Linked DNA regions of Callithrix jacchus. Each later gene encodes a partner of the first gene's protein in a complex. Links are inferred from orthologs where the notes say so. Each region holds a gene or a part of one and is shown in the gene's direction. Other genes may lie near its edges.

Region 1 (4,800 bases):
CACTCTGGGCAAGCAGCATTGAACAAAACAGACTTAATTTCTTACCCTTGTGAAGATTATATTCTGTGGGATGAGGATTGGGTAGTGGTGGAGATAATAAAAAGGATAGAGAGAATATTAGATCAGTGCTATGAAAAAACATAACATAGGAATGGGCATGTTGGTATTTAACCTAGACAAGGAACACCTAACTGATGAGGTGACATTTGAGATCTGAGAGAAGTGAAGTAATGAGACCTGGATAGTGAGATAAAGAAGTGCAAAAGTCCCAATTTAAAATGATTGATGAGATCAAGGAATAGATATTGATGGTCCAAACTAAGTCGTAGTAGAAATGCTGAAACATGGTCAGATTGTGAATATGTTTTAAAGGTGGGACCAAGAAGATTTGCCAATGGATTGGATGTTGCAAGCAAGGGAAAATGGTAGTCCAATGGTTACTATAGGATTTTGAACCTGAGCAATTTTTTAAAAAGCCTCATTTATAATGAGAAGAGGAGTTGAAAGAAGTAAAGACAGTTCATTGAGGTAGGAGAAAGAAATGGAAGAGTTGGAAAGAGTATATAGGATGAGGATGGGGAAAATACTATAGTTTGTAAACTGATTAAAAGAGCAGCACCTATGGATTCAAGCTGCCCAGGTTTGAATGCTGGCTTCTTGTCTATGTGACCTTGGACAGTGTTTGGCACATAGTAAGTGCTTATTGTTAGCTGTTACTTGAATTTTTTAAGTAGTAGATAGGTTTGTTTTGGTGTTTGGTTTGGTTTTGGTAAAAGATGGAGGGAAACTTAAGGAGAAAGAATAATACTTGAACATACCTGTCTTCAGACTCTGAATTGAAGTTTGTTTTATAAACCAAAATATATTAGCGTTTTGTGGTAGTTTTTGTTTTTTTGTAATAAATGAGAAAACTATAGTTAGTCTAAAATTGCTTTTAATCAGAAGCTAAAGTATCTCAGAAATATTTTCCCTTCCTGAAAATCATTTTGAAAATTAAAATTACGTGTTGGTCCAGAAGTTTTACTTTGCTGGTATAGCAACAAAATAACCCGGGAGGCGGAGGTTGCGGTGAGCCGAGATCGCGCCATTGCACTCGAGCCTGGGTAACAAGAGCGAAACTCCGTCTCAAAAAAAAAAAAAAAAAAATCTGGAATGGATACTTAATTTGGTGCTCAGAAAATGTCGAGGCTGAAAAATGAAAAAAAATGTTCACTGGTTGCCACAAAGAAGGAAAATTAGTGAACACAGAGGTTGGGATTGAAATTTAAGATCATGTTTTTACAGTTTTCATTTGTATGTTTCTAAGCTGCCAAGAGTAAAGAAATTTTTTTTGAACGTTAGGTTTCACAGTGATTCAATTAACAAATACGTTTGAATACTGGAGATAAAGTAACAAATAAGGTGACATCCCTACCCTTATACACCTTATGGTCTGGCAAAGTACATAGATAGAAAATACGAATTTGCAAATGTGATGACTGTCACAAAAGTAAAGTATGAAGTGCAATGGGAATAAATAATGAGGTTACTTAAAGCAGAATGAGGGTCCCAAAAGGCCCAACTGAGCACAAGTGACTTCTAAATTAAGACTTTAAGGATGAATAAGAAGAACTTAATGGAAATTAGAGGGAACTAAATAAAAGTTGGAAATTTTCCTTCCTAGAACATTGGTAGACTGAATCAGAGCTTACAAATGTGATGTTTCCTTTTAAACTTAAATAATTGCTCATTTTTATTGCTGGGCATATATAATTTGTGTATGGTAAAGCTTGCAAGTAAGGAAGAAATACATGGGTGTTCTAGGATGCATTGTGTTTTTTTGAGACCAGTGGAGATGTTTTTAGAATTGTAATCAAATCATCAAAATGTAAAACTGCATGAAACTAGGGATACAGAAATTAGATCTTTCCTGATCATCTGGAGGCAAGCTTCTAAGTACAATTCCCTGATCAGCTGATAGACAAATGATAGAGTTGGGCTGGAGATTCCACCTATTCGAAAGGAACTTTGTTCCTATGAATTTTATCTCTCACTATGCTGTGAACATGTTTACTTTTGTTTTTTACCTTTTTTTTTTTTTTTTTGAAATGGAGTCTTGCTCTCTCACCTAGGCTGGAGTACAGTGGTGTAGTCTCAGCTCACTGTAACCTCTGCCTCCCAGGTTCCAGAGGTTCTCCTGCCTCAGCACCCCCAGTAGCTGGGAATACAGGCATGGGCTAATTTTTGTATTTTTATTAGTGACTGGATTTCACCATGTTGGCCAGGCTGGGGTCTCAAACTCTTGACTTCAAGTGATCTGCCCTTTTCGGCCTCCCAGAGTGCTGGGATCACAGGCGTGAGCCACCGCGCCTGGCAGTTTTGGTTCTTAAGAATAAGAGAATAACTTCTGTATACTCTGTTATGAGCACTGGGTAATTGAAATCATTTGTTTTGTTGTTCATTTTCAAATGTGTTCTTTAATTATGAATCTTGGCTTTTTTAATACTTCATAGTACTTAATGTGGTTCCTGTGTTTAATCTACTTTCTGGATTCTTGTATGTTAACTTATATGTAATTAATTTTCTATAAGTCCTGCCTTACTTAGTGGTAACTGCCTAAAGACAAAGTAATAGAGGGAAGTGTGTTTTCCAAAATGTTACTGTTGTGTCTCTCCATCTGTATCTTCCTTTTTCTTTGAGATGGAGTCTCACTCTGTTGCCCTGGCTAGAGTGCAGTGGTGCCATCTCAGCTCACTGCAACCTCTGCCTCCAGGGTTTAAGCGTTTCCCCTGCCTCAGCCTTGTGAGTAGCTGGTACTACAGGCACGTGCCCCCCACACCTGGCTGATTTTTTTTTTTTTTTAGTAGAGGCGGGGTTTCACCATGTTGGCCAAGCTGGTCTTGAACTCCTGACCTCTGGTGATTTGCTAGCCTCGGCCTCCCAAAGTGCTGGGATTACAGGCATGAGCCACTGTGCCCAACCTGTGTTTTTGTTTTCTGACATAGTTCATTCTTTTTAGTTCCATTGTAGCTACAAATTAGTACTTGTCTTTTCTCACTGAAGACTAAAAACCAAAGTAGTTTTACTGGTTTCTCAGAAGTGACTTTTATTTTAAACATCTTTTGAAGTCAGTAAAGATATTATCTTTGGAGTAGTTATTGGAAACCTAATTTTAGGGGCATGAGAATGTTAAAAAACCTTAATAAAATGGCATCTCTTGGTTTTAAAATACAATTTTTTAATACATGTTTTTAATTTTGTTTTAGCACCTTCTAAGTGAGCAACACAGAAACTTTGCACAGAGTAACCGGTATCAAGTTGTTGATGATATTGTATCTAAGTTAGTTTTTGACTTTGTGGAATATGAAAAGGACACACCTAAAAAGAAAAGGTAATTAGTGCTATCAACCTAAATTTTAAATTATAGTAGAAGGCTGGGCGTGGTGGCTTATGCTTGTAATCCCAGCACTTTGGGAGGATCACCTGAGGTCAGGAGTTGGAGACCAGCCTGGCCAACATGGCGAAACCCTGTCTCTACTTAAAAAAAAAAAAAATACAGAAATTAGCCGGGTGTGGTGGTGCACACCTGTAATCCCAGCTACTTGGGAGGCTGAGGCAGGATAATCCCTTGAATCTGGGAGGTAGAGGTTGCAGTGCTCCAGCCTGGGTGATAGTGAGACTCCATCTCAAAAATAAATACATACATAAATAAAACAAATTATACTAGAATATTAAACTATTTTATTAAACTAAAAATAAACACAGTATGCCTGTTCTTAGAAGGAATATGTATTTTCAGGATGTAAATATGGTTAAAAACCAGTAACTTCTTCCCTTCCCTTTTTCCCTACTATCAAAGATGCTTACCTTAGACTACTTTTACTTCCATTGTTTTTAAGTTTTCTTTTTATCTAAAATTTTTTCTTTTTTAAATTTTTTGTTTAATTTTGAGACAGAGTCTCGCTGTATCACCCAGGCTGGACTGCTGTTGCATTCTCTCGGCTCACTGCAACTTCTGCCTCTGAGGTACAAGAGATTCTCGTGTCTCAACCTCTTGAGTAATTGGGTTTACAGGCATATGCCACTACACCCCACTAATTAGTCTCATTCTTGACATTGTAGTTTAGAAGGAGTTGATGGACTTTTCCCATAAAGAGCCAGATATTTGATATTTTAGGTTTTGTGAGCCATAAGATCTCTGTTGCAACTAATTAGCTTCTTTATTTTACAATGGATATGGCTGTATTTTGATACAATTTTATTTGGAAAAATAGACTGTAGTCTAGATTTTGGCAACAGACTATATAGTTCATCAACTCCTGTTATAGAACCATAAAGTTTAACGTTTATTCGGACTAAAAAGTTTTATCAAACTTTTAGGTAATATTAAGGAGTTTTAAGAAACCTTCCTCCACTTGCCTCTTAGGTCTTTATACTTTCACGAAATATCTTTACCTAACCCTTATGATGGGTATATTTACTGAAGATACCGACAGGACTTTTAAGTGTGAATACAGTACTGCCCAGTGTACCCTGACTGTGTGTGGACAAAAATTATCCTGATCAGATTATTCCCATAAACTTACAAAGAAATGCTTTTGTATGAATATACCCTAGAGGTGGTGATAACTCATTAAGTTAGTCTTTATTTTTAGAGTACTCTTACTTAAGGCATAAAGAAGATTAGAAATGTGATACCCAGATACAGCTTCTGAAAATTAACTAGAAAGTTTTTTGACTTCAGGTAGAAGAGTTCTTAAATCCCAAATTTCTGTGACATTCAGAATAGTTTCATGACTGACTTAATATGGATTTGAAGAG
Region 2 (4,807 bases), on another chromosome or scaffold:
GAGCCAGGATTGTAATTTAAGCCCCCATCTCTAAAGTAGTACACATAATTGCTATTTATGTTGCCTCTTGCATTGAAATCCATGAAGGTTCTCCAGTCCACATATGAAATACATGGGAAGGTGAGAGTGATTTAAATAAGTTCTTTGCATTTCCTTAGACAAGTTGATATAGTGGAAAGAACACAGGAGTAGATCTACCTGGCCCCTTATTCTCCAGCCGTTAATGTTCCTCCTCCCCTTCACATCTGTTCTTCACTTTTCATTTTTCTGCTTAAAAACTTTGTATAGCTTTCATTTGCATTCTCTGCTCTTCTCTTCCTCAGCCACATTCTATTTCTTTTATTTATTTATTATTATTATTATTACTATTATTTTTGATACGGGTTTTGCTCTCCTATCACCCAGGCTGGAGTAAAGTGACACGATCATATTTTAGTAGCCTCAAACTCCTGGGCTCAAGGTATCCTTCTGCCTCAGTCTCAGTAGCTGAGACTACAGGCATGTATTACAAAGCCCAGCTAATTTTTTTTTTTTTAAGAGATAGGTCTCAAAACACCTGGCCTCAAGCAGTCTTCTTCCTTTGGTCTCCTAAAGTGCTGAGATTAGAGGCCTGAGCTACCACCCCAGGCCACATTGTATGTCATTGTCTCTCAGCCCTCTCCCCCACCCTAATCATCCAAGCCTTATTTTCTTTTTCTTTTTCCCTGTCTTTACACAGTTAATTTTTTCTAAAATGTTTTCTTCCACTTTCACAGCTTGATTAATAGTTCAGAACAAAACTTAGCTGTCAACTGAAGCCTTCCTAGCACCTTCAGAAATCCTCCCCAACCTAATAGATTATGCATTCTTTTATTACAGGTATCACCTTGTATTAAGAGTGAATGTTTCCTCTACTGGACTAATGGCTGCACCAAATTTATTAGTATTTTAAATATGCCCATTGCTGAGCATTTTTTAAAACAGTGTTTAAATGAATGATTTCTGGCCAGGTGCGGTGGCTCACGCCTGTAATCCCATCACTTTGGGAGCCTGAGGTAGGCCGATCACTTGAGGTCAGGAGTTTGAGACTAGCCTGGCCAACATGGTAAAACCCTGTCTCTACTAAAAATACAAAAATTAGCCGGGTGTGGTAGCACACGCCTGTAATTTCAGCTGCTCACGAGGCTGAGAATTTCTTGAACCTGGGAGGCAGAGGTTACAGTGAGTGAAGATTACGTCACTGCACTCCAGCCTGGGTGACACAGCAAGACTGTTTCAAAAAAAAGAAAACTAGAAAATATATATAATAAAAATAAAAGAATGAGTTCTGCAGACATTAGCAACACCTCTGTGAAAGTGAGCAAATGATTTAACCTCCCTAAGTTGAGTTTCCTTATCTGAAAAATCAGGATAATAATTCCTGTTCCACCAAGTTCACAGTACTATTGGGAAGATCTGTAAAGATAATGCTTGTGCAAGTACTTTGAAAATGTCTTAAACCTATGCAATGTAGGGCTAGTAAAGCCTAGGTACTGTAATAAAATCTGAAGACCCTTGGGTAGTTCTCTTCTGTATCCCGTCGTTTACTGGGTCTTTATTATTGCCTCTCTTATTTTAACCATGTACATTTTTATAAATAACTGATATTTATTTAAAAGTAGCAATTTATCTGCAGTCAAGGATAAAGGATACTACTGGCAATTGGGACAAATTAAAAAAAATTTTTTTTATATGCTTGAGAGCTTTAGTAGGCCTTCTCTCTGAAAATATAGTGTGAATATTCAAAACATAAAATTTCACCAAGCTTTTAAGATTTTGTCTTTACGGGAAATAGTTTTCAAGAGCATCACATTGTGTCCTTGGCATGCCATCTAGTGATCACAGCACAAATTGTTTAGTTATTTTAAAAATTTAGCTGCTTTATCGTGGTGTAATTTATACAGTAACAATGTATTTATTAGTATATAATTTCAGTATAGTAGAAATTTGGTGTATTTAATTCTGAGACTATTCTTTTTGTCTATTGGTTCAAGAGGTGTGTGTGTGAGTTATAGCAACTTGATAGGGGTTTAATCTTATCACAATTTTATTAAAACTTATTTATAATTAATTATTCATGTTTTAGAATTTATTTCATTGAGCTTTTTAAATTTTAAGAAACTATAAAATATACTGTCATTGATTAAAACTTTAAATTTTTGTTTCCTTGAAAGGTGTTAAAAAAGATATTGAGAAGCTTTATGAAGCTGTACCACAGCTTAGTAATGTGTTTAAGATTAAGGACAAAATTGGAGAAGGTAATATGCTTTACTATTTTTACAAGGTTTTTTTCCCTCCTGTTTTCCTTTTGTAATCTTGGTTTTCGTTACTATTTCTTATTAAAAATATGTACCGCTTTTTAGATTATTAAGACCATGGTTTTATTACCAATTATGATGACAACTTTTTCAACCTCAAAGAAAGAATAAATAATAGACATTTACAGTAAAATGAAGTCCTGTTTTAATCTATTATGCCATTGAAACAGTTTTTACAATCTATCTTAGAATTGTTTCATTAACATTTTTAAAAACCAGATATTGAAAATCTAATAAATTGTTTTACAGGCACTTTCAGCTCTGTTTATTTGGCCACAGCACAGTTACAAGTAGGACCTGAAGAGAAAATTGCTCTCAAACACTTGATTCCAACAAGTCATCCTATAAGAATTGCAGCCGAACTTCAGTGCCTAACAGTGGCTGGGTAGGCAATTTAAACATTTTAATTGAACTTGTATATAATTTATAAGATTTTAAAATAGATACTTAGCAGGGATGATGAAATTATATGTGAATTAAATGCCTTTTTCAGTCAAGTGTTTGCAATTTGCTAGCACTTTCTTTCTAACCTCGCAATGGTTAAATTTATAGTACTTCTTTCAGATTGGATTTCCCTTGAGGCTCAGCTTGATTTCCTGTCTTTTATCACTGCTTTTTGTAACCTTCCTGCTAAATCATAAACCTTGGCTTTCATGATTTACATTATTTTGTAAATGTAGGGAACTCATATTTCACATTTCCCCAGCTATTGACAACCTCATCTAATACTTTATTTAGAATAACAGAATCATCTGATATGGTTTCTCTCTGCTAGGTCATTTCTGTCAACATATGGACATGATCTAGTATCTCATCCTCCTAAACTGCCCTCCTTCTTCCACATGCTCCATCATTTCTTTGCTCCCCTTTATAGCCAGACTTCTCAAAAATTATTTACATACATTGTTTTCATTCCACACCTCCCTTTCACTAAATACTCATTGCGGCTGCTCTCCTCTATACTAAACTGGAAACTATAGAGTCAACCATTACTCTAAGCATCATTTAACACAATTGACTTGAACCCTTGTTTTGACTTTGGTACTGCCGTACCCTCCTTGCTTTCTTCTTCCCTCATTTGGCTTTTCATTTTCAATGTCTGCCAGCTCTTCCCTTTCTACCTGACCCCTACATGTTGGAGTTCCTCGTGCTCGCTCTTGGGTTTCTCTGTATTCGCTTTAGTGTCCTCCATTTCCACTTGGTGTAAAGTAATGATTCCCAAAAGTATATAGTTAATCTCAGACCTTTTATCTTAACTACAGGTTTGTATATATCCACCTGCCTATTTAACATTTCCACTTGGTGCCTGATAAATACTCAAACCTAATATGCTAAAACTAAACCTTAACATGCCAAAAAAAAAACCCACCACAGAAAATATTTTATCTACCTGTCTCTGCAGATGGCCCAATCTACACACTTGTTCAGGCCAGAAACCTAGAAATCATCCTCATTTTCTCTGTTTCTCTCCTAAACCACATTAATCACTAAGTCCTAGCTGTTTTGCCTCTAAAATGTATCTAGAACTTCATCCATGTCTTTCTATCTTCTCTGCCACTACCTCAGCTGAAGCGTAGACTACTACTGTAGCCTGCTTCTTCTTTCTCCCCTTAATTCTGTCTTCACACAGCAGCCAGAATGATCTTTCAAATATAAAATACTTATGTGTCTAACTTAAATTGGGTCATTAATTCCACCACTTAAAAATCTTTCAATGGTGTTTCAATGTGTAGTTTGAAAAAAAATTCAACCTTCTTATGCCCATCTTCCCACCTCCCTCACTGTGCTCCATTTCTCTAGTTTCTCAGATTTGTTTCAATAGCTTTCTTACCTCAGGGCCACTGCCCAGACTGTTTCCTCATTTGGGAAGACTTCTCCCAGTCTTTGCCTGCTGACCTTTCCTCTTCTGATCTGAGCAAGAGTGAAACTAGGCGCAGTAGCTCATGCTTGTAATCCCAGCACTTTGGAAGGATTATTTGAGGCTAGGAGCTTGAGACCTGCCTGGGCAACATAATAAGATCCCATCTGTACAAAAAACTTAAAAGTTAGCCAGGCATGCTGGCACACACCTGTAGTCCCAGCTACTCGGGAGGCTGAGGTAGGAGGATCACTTGCACCCAGGAGTTCGAGGCTGCAGCGACCTGTGATCACACTACTGCACTCCATCTAGCCTGGTCAACAAAACGAGACCTTATCTCTAAGGAGAAAAAAAAGAGTAGCACTGCTTGAAAGATGTCTTCTCTGAATTAAGTTAGATTCTCCTATTTTTTTGTTGTTGTCACATCGTCTTTTGATTTCTTTCAAAGCCCTTACCATAATCTGTCATTATAAATTACCTTGTTATTATCTGTATTGTCACTAGATAGTAAACTCCATGAGGCCAAAAATTGTGTAAATTTTATTCACCATTGTATCACTAATGTCTATCACCCCTAACAGCAAGTAACAGTGCCCACTCAATATTGAATGAA

Evidence for each region. Proteins that work in one complex are often made in the same cells at the same time.
Region 2: the proteins of DBF4 (region 1) and CDC7 are in contact, whole or in part, in a crystal structure (PDB 6YA8), measured with the Homo sapiens proteins. The link is inferred for Callithrix jacchus from reciprocal best matches to the Homo sapiens genes DBF4 and CDC7. Residues at the interface, in NP_006707.1 of Homo sapiens: Thr210, Arg211, Thr212, Gly213, Arg214, Leu215, Lys217, Pro218, Phe219, Val220, Lys221, Val222, Glu223, Asp224, Met225, Ser226, Gln227, Leu228, Tyr229, Arg230, Pro231, Phe232, Tyr233, Leu234, Leu236, Met239, Pro240, Ile242, Asn243, Tyr244; in NP_001127891.1 of Homo sapiens: Asn56, Val57, Phe58, Ala77, Gln78, Leu79, Gln80, Ile87, Ile93, Pro94, Thr95, Ser96, His97, Pro98, Ile99, Arg100, Ile101, Ala102, Leu105, Gln106, Thr109, Lys121, Tyr122, Cys123, Phe124, Arg125, Asn127, Asp128, Val130, Leu143.

The regions. Positions count from the first base shown.
Region 1 is NC_133512.1:61,834,218-61,839,017, reverse strand, and holds part of DBF4 (protein DBF4 homolog A), read left to right. Parts: intron 1-3,245; coding exon 3,246-3,370; intron 3,371-4,800. UniProt on the Homo sapiens protein: Regulatory subunit for CDC7 which activates its kinase activity thereby playing a central role in DNA replication and cell proliferation. Required for progression of S phase.
Region 2 is NC_133508.1:128,965,066-128,969,872, forward strand, and holds part of CDC7 (cell division cycle 7-related protein kinase), read left to right. Parts: intron 1-2,192; coding exon 2,193-2,276; intron 2,277-2,585; coding exon 2,586-2,721; intron 2,722-4,807. UniProt on the Homo sapiens protein: Kinase involved in initiation of DNA replication. Phosphorylates critical substrates that regulate the G1/S phase transition and initiation of DNA replication, such as MCM proteins and CLASPIN.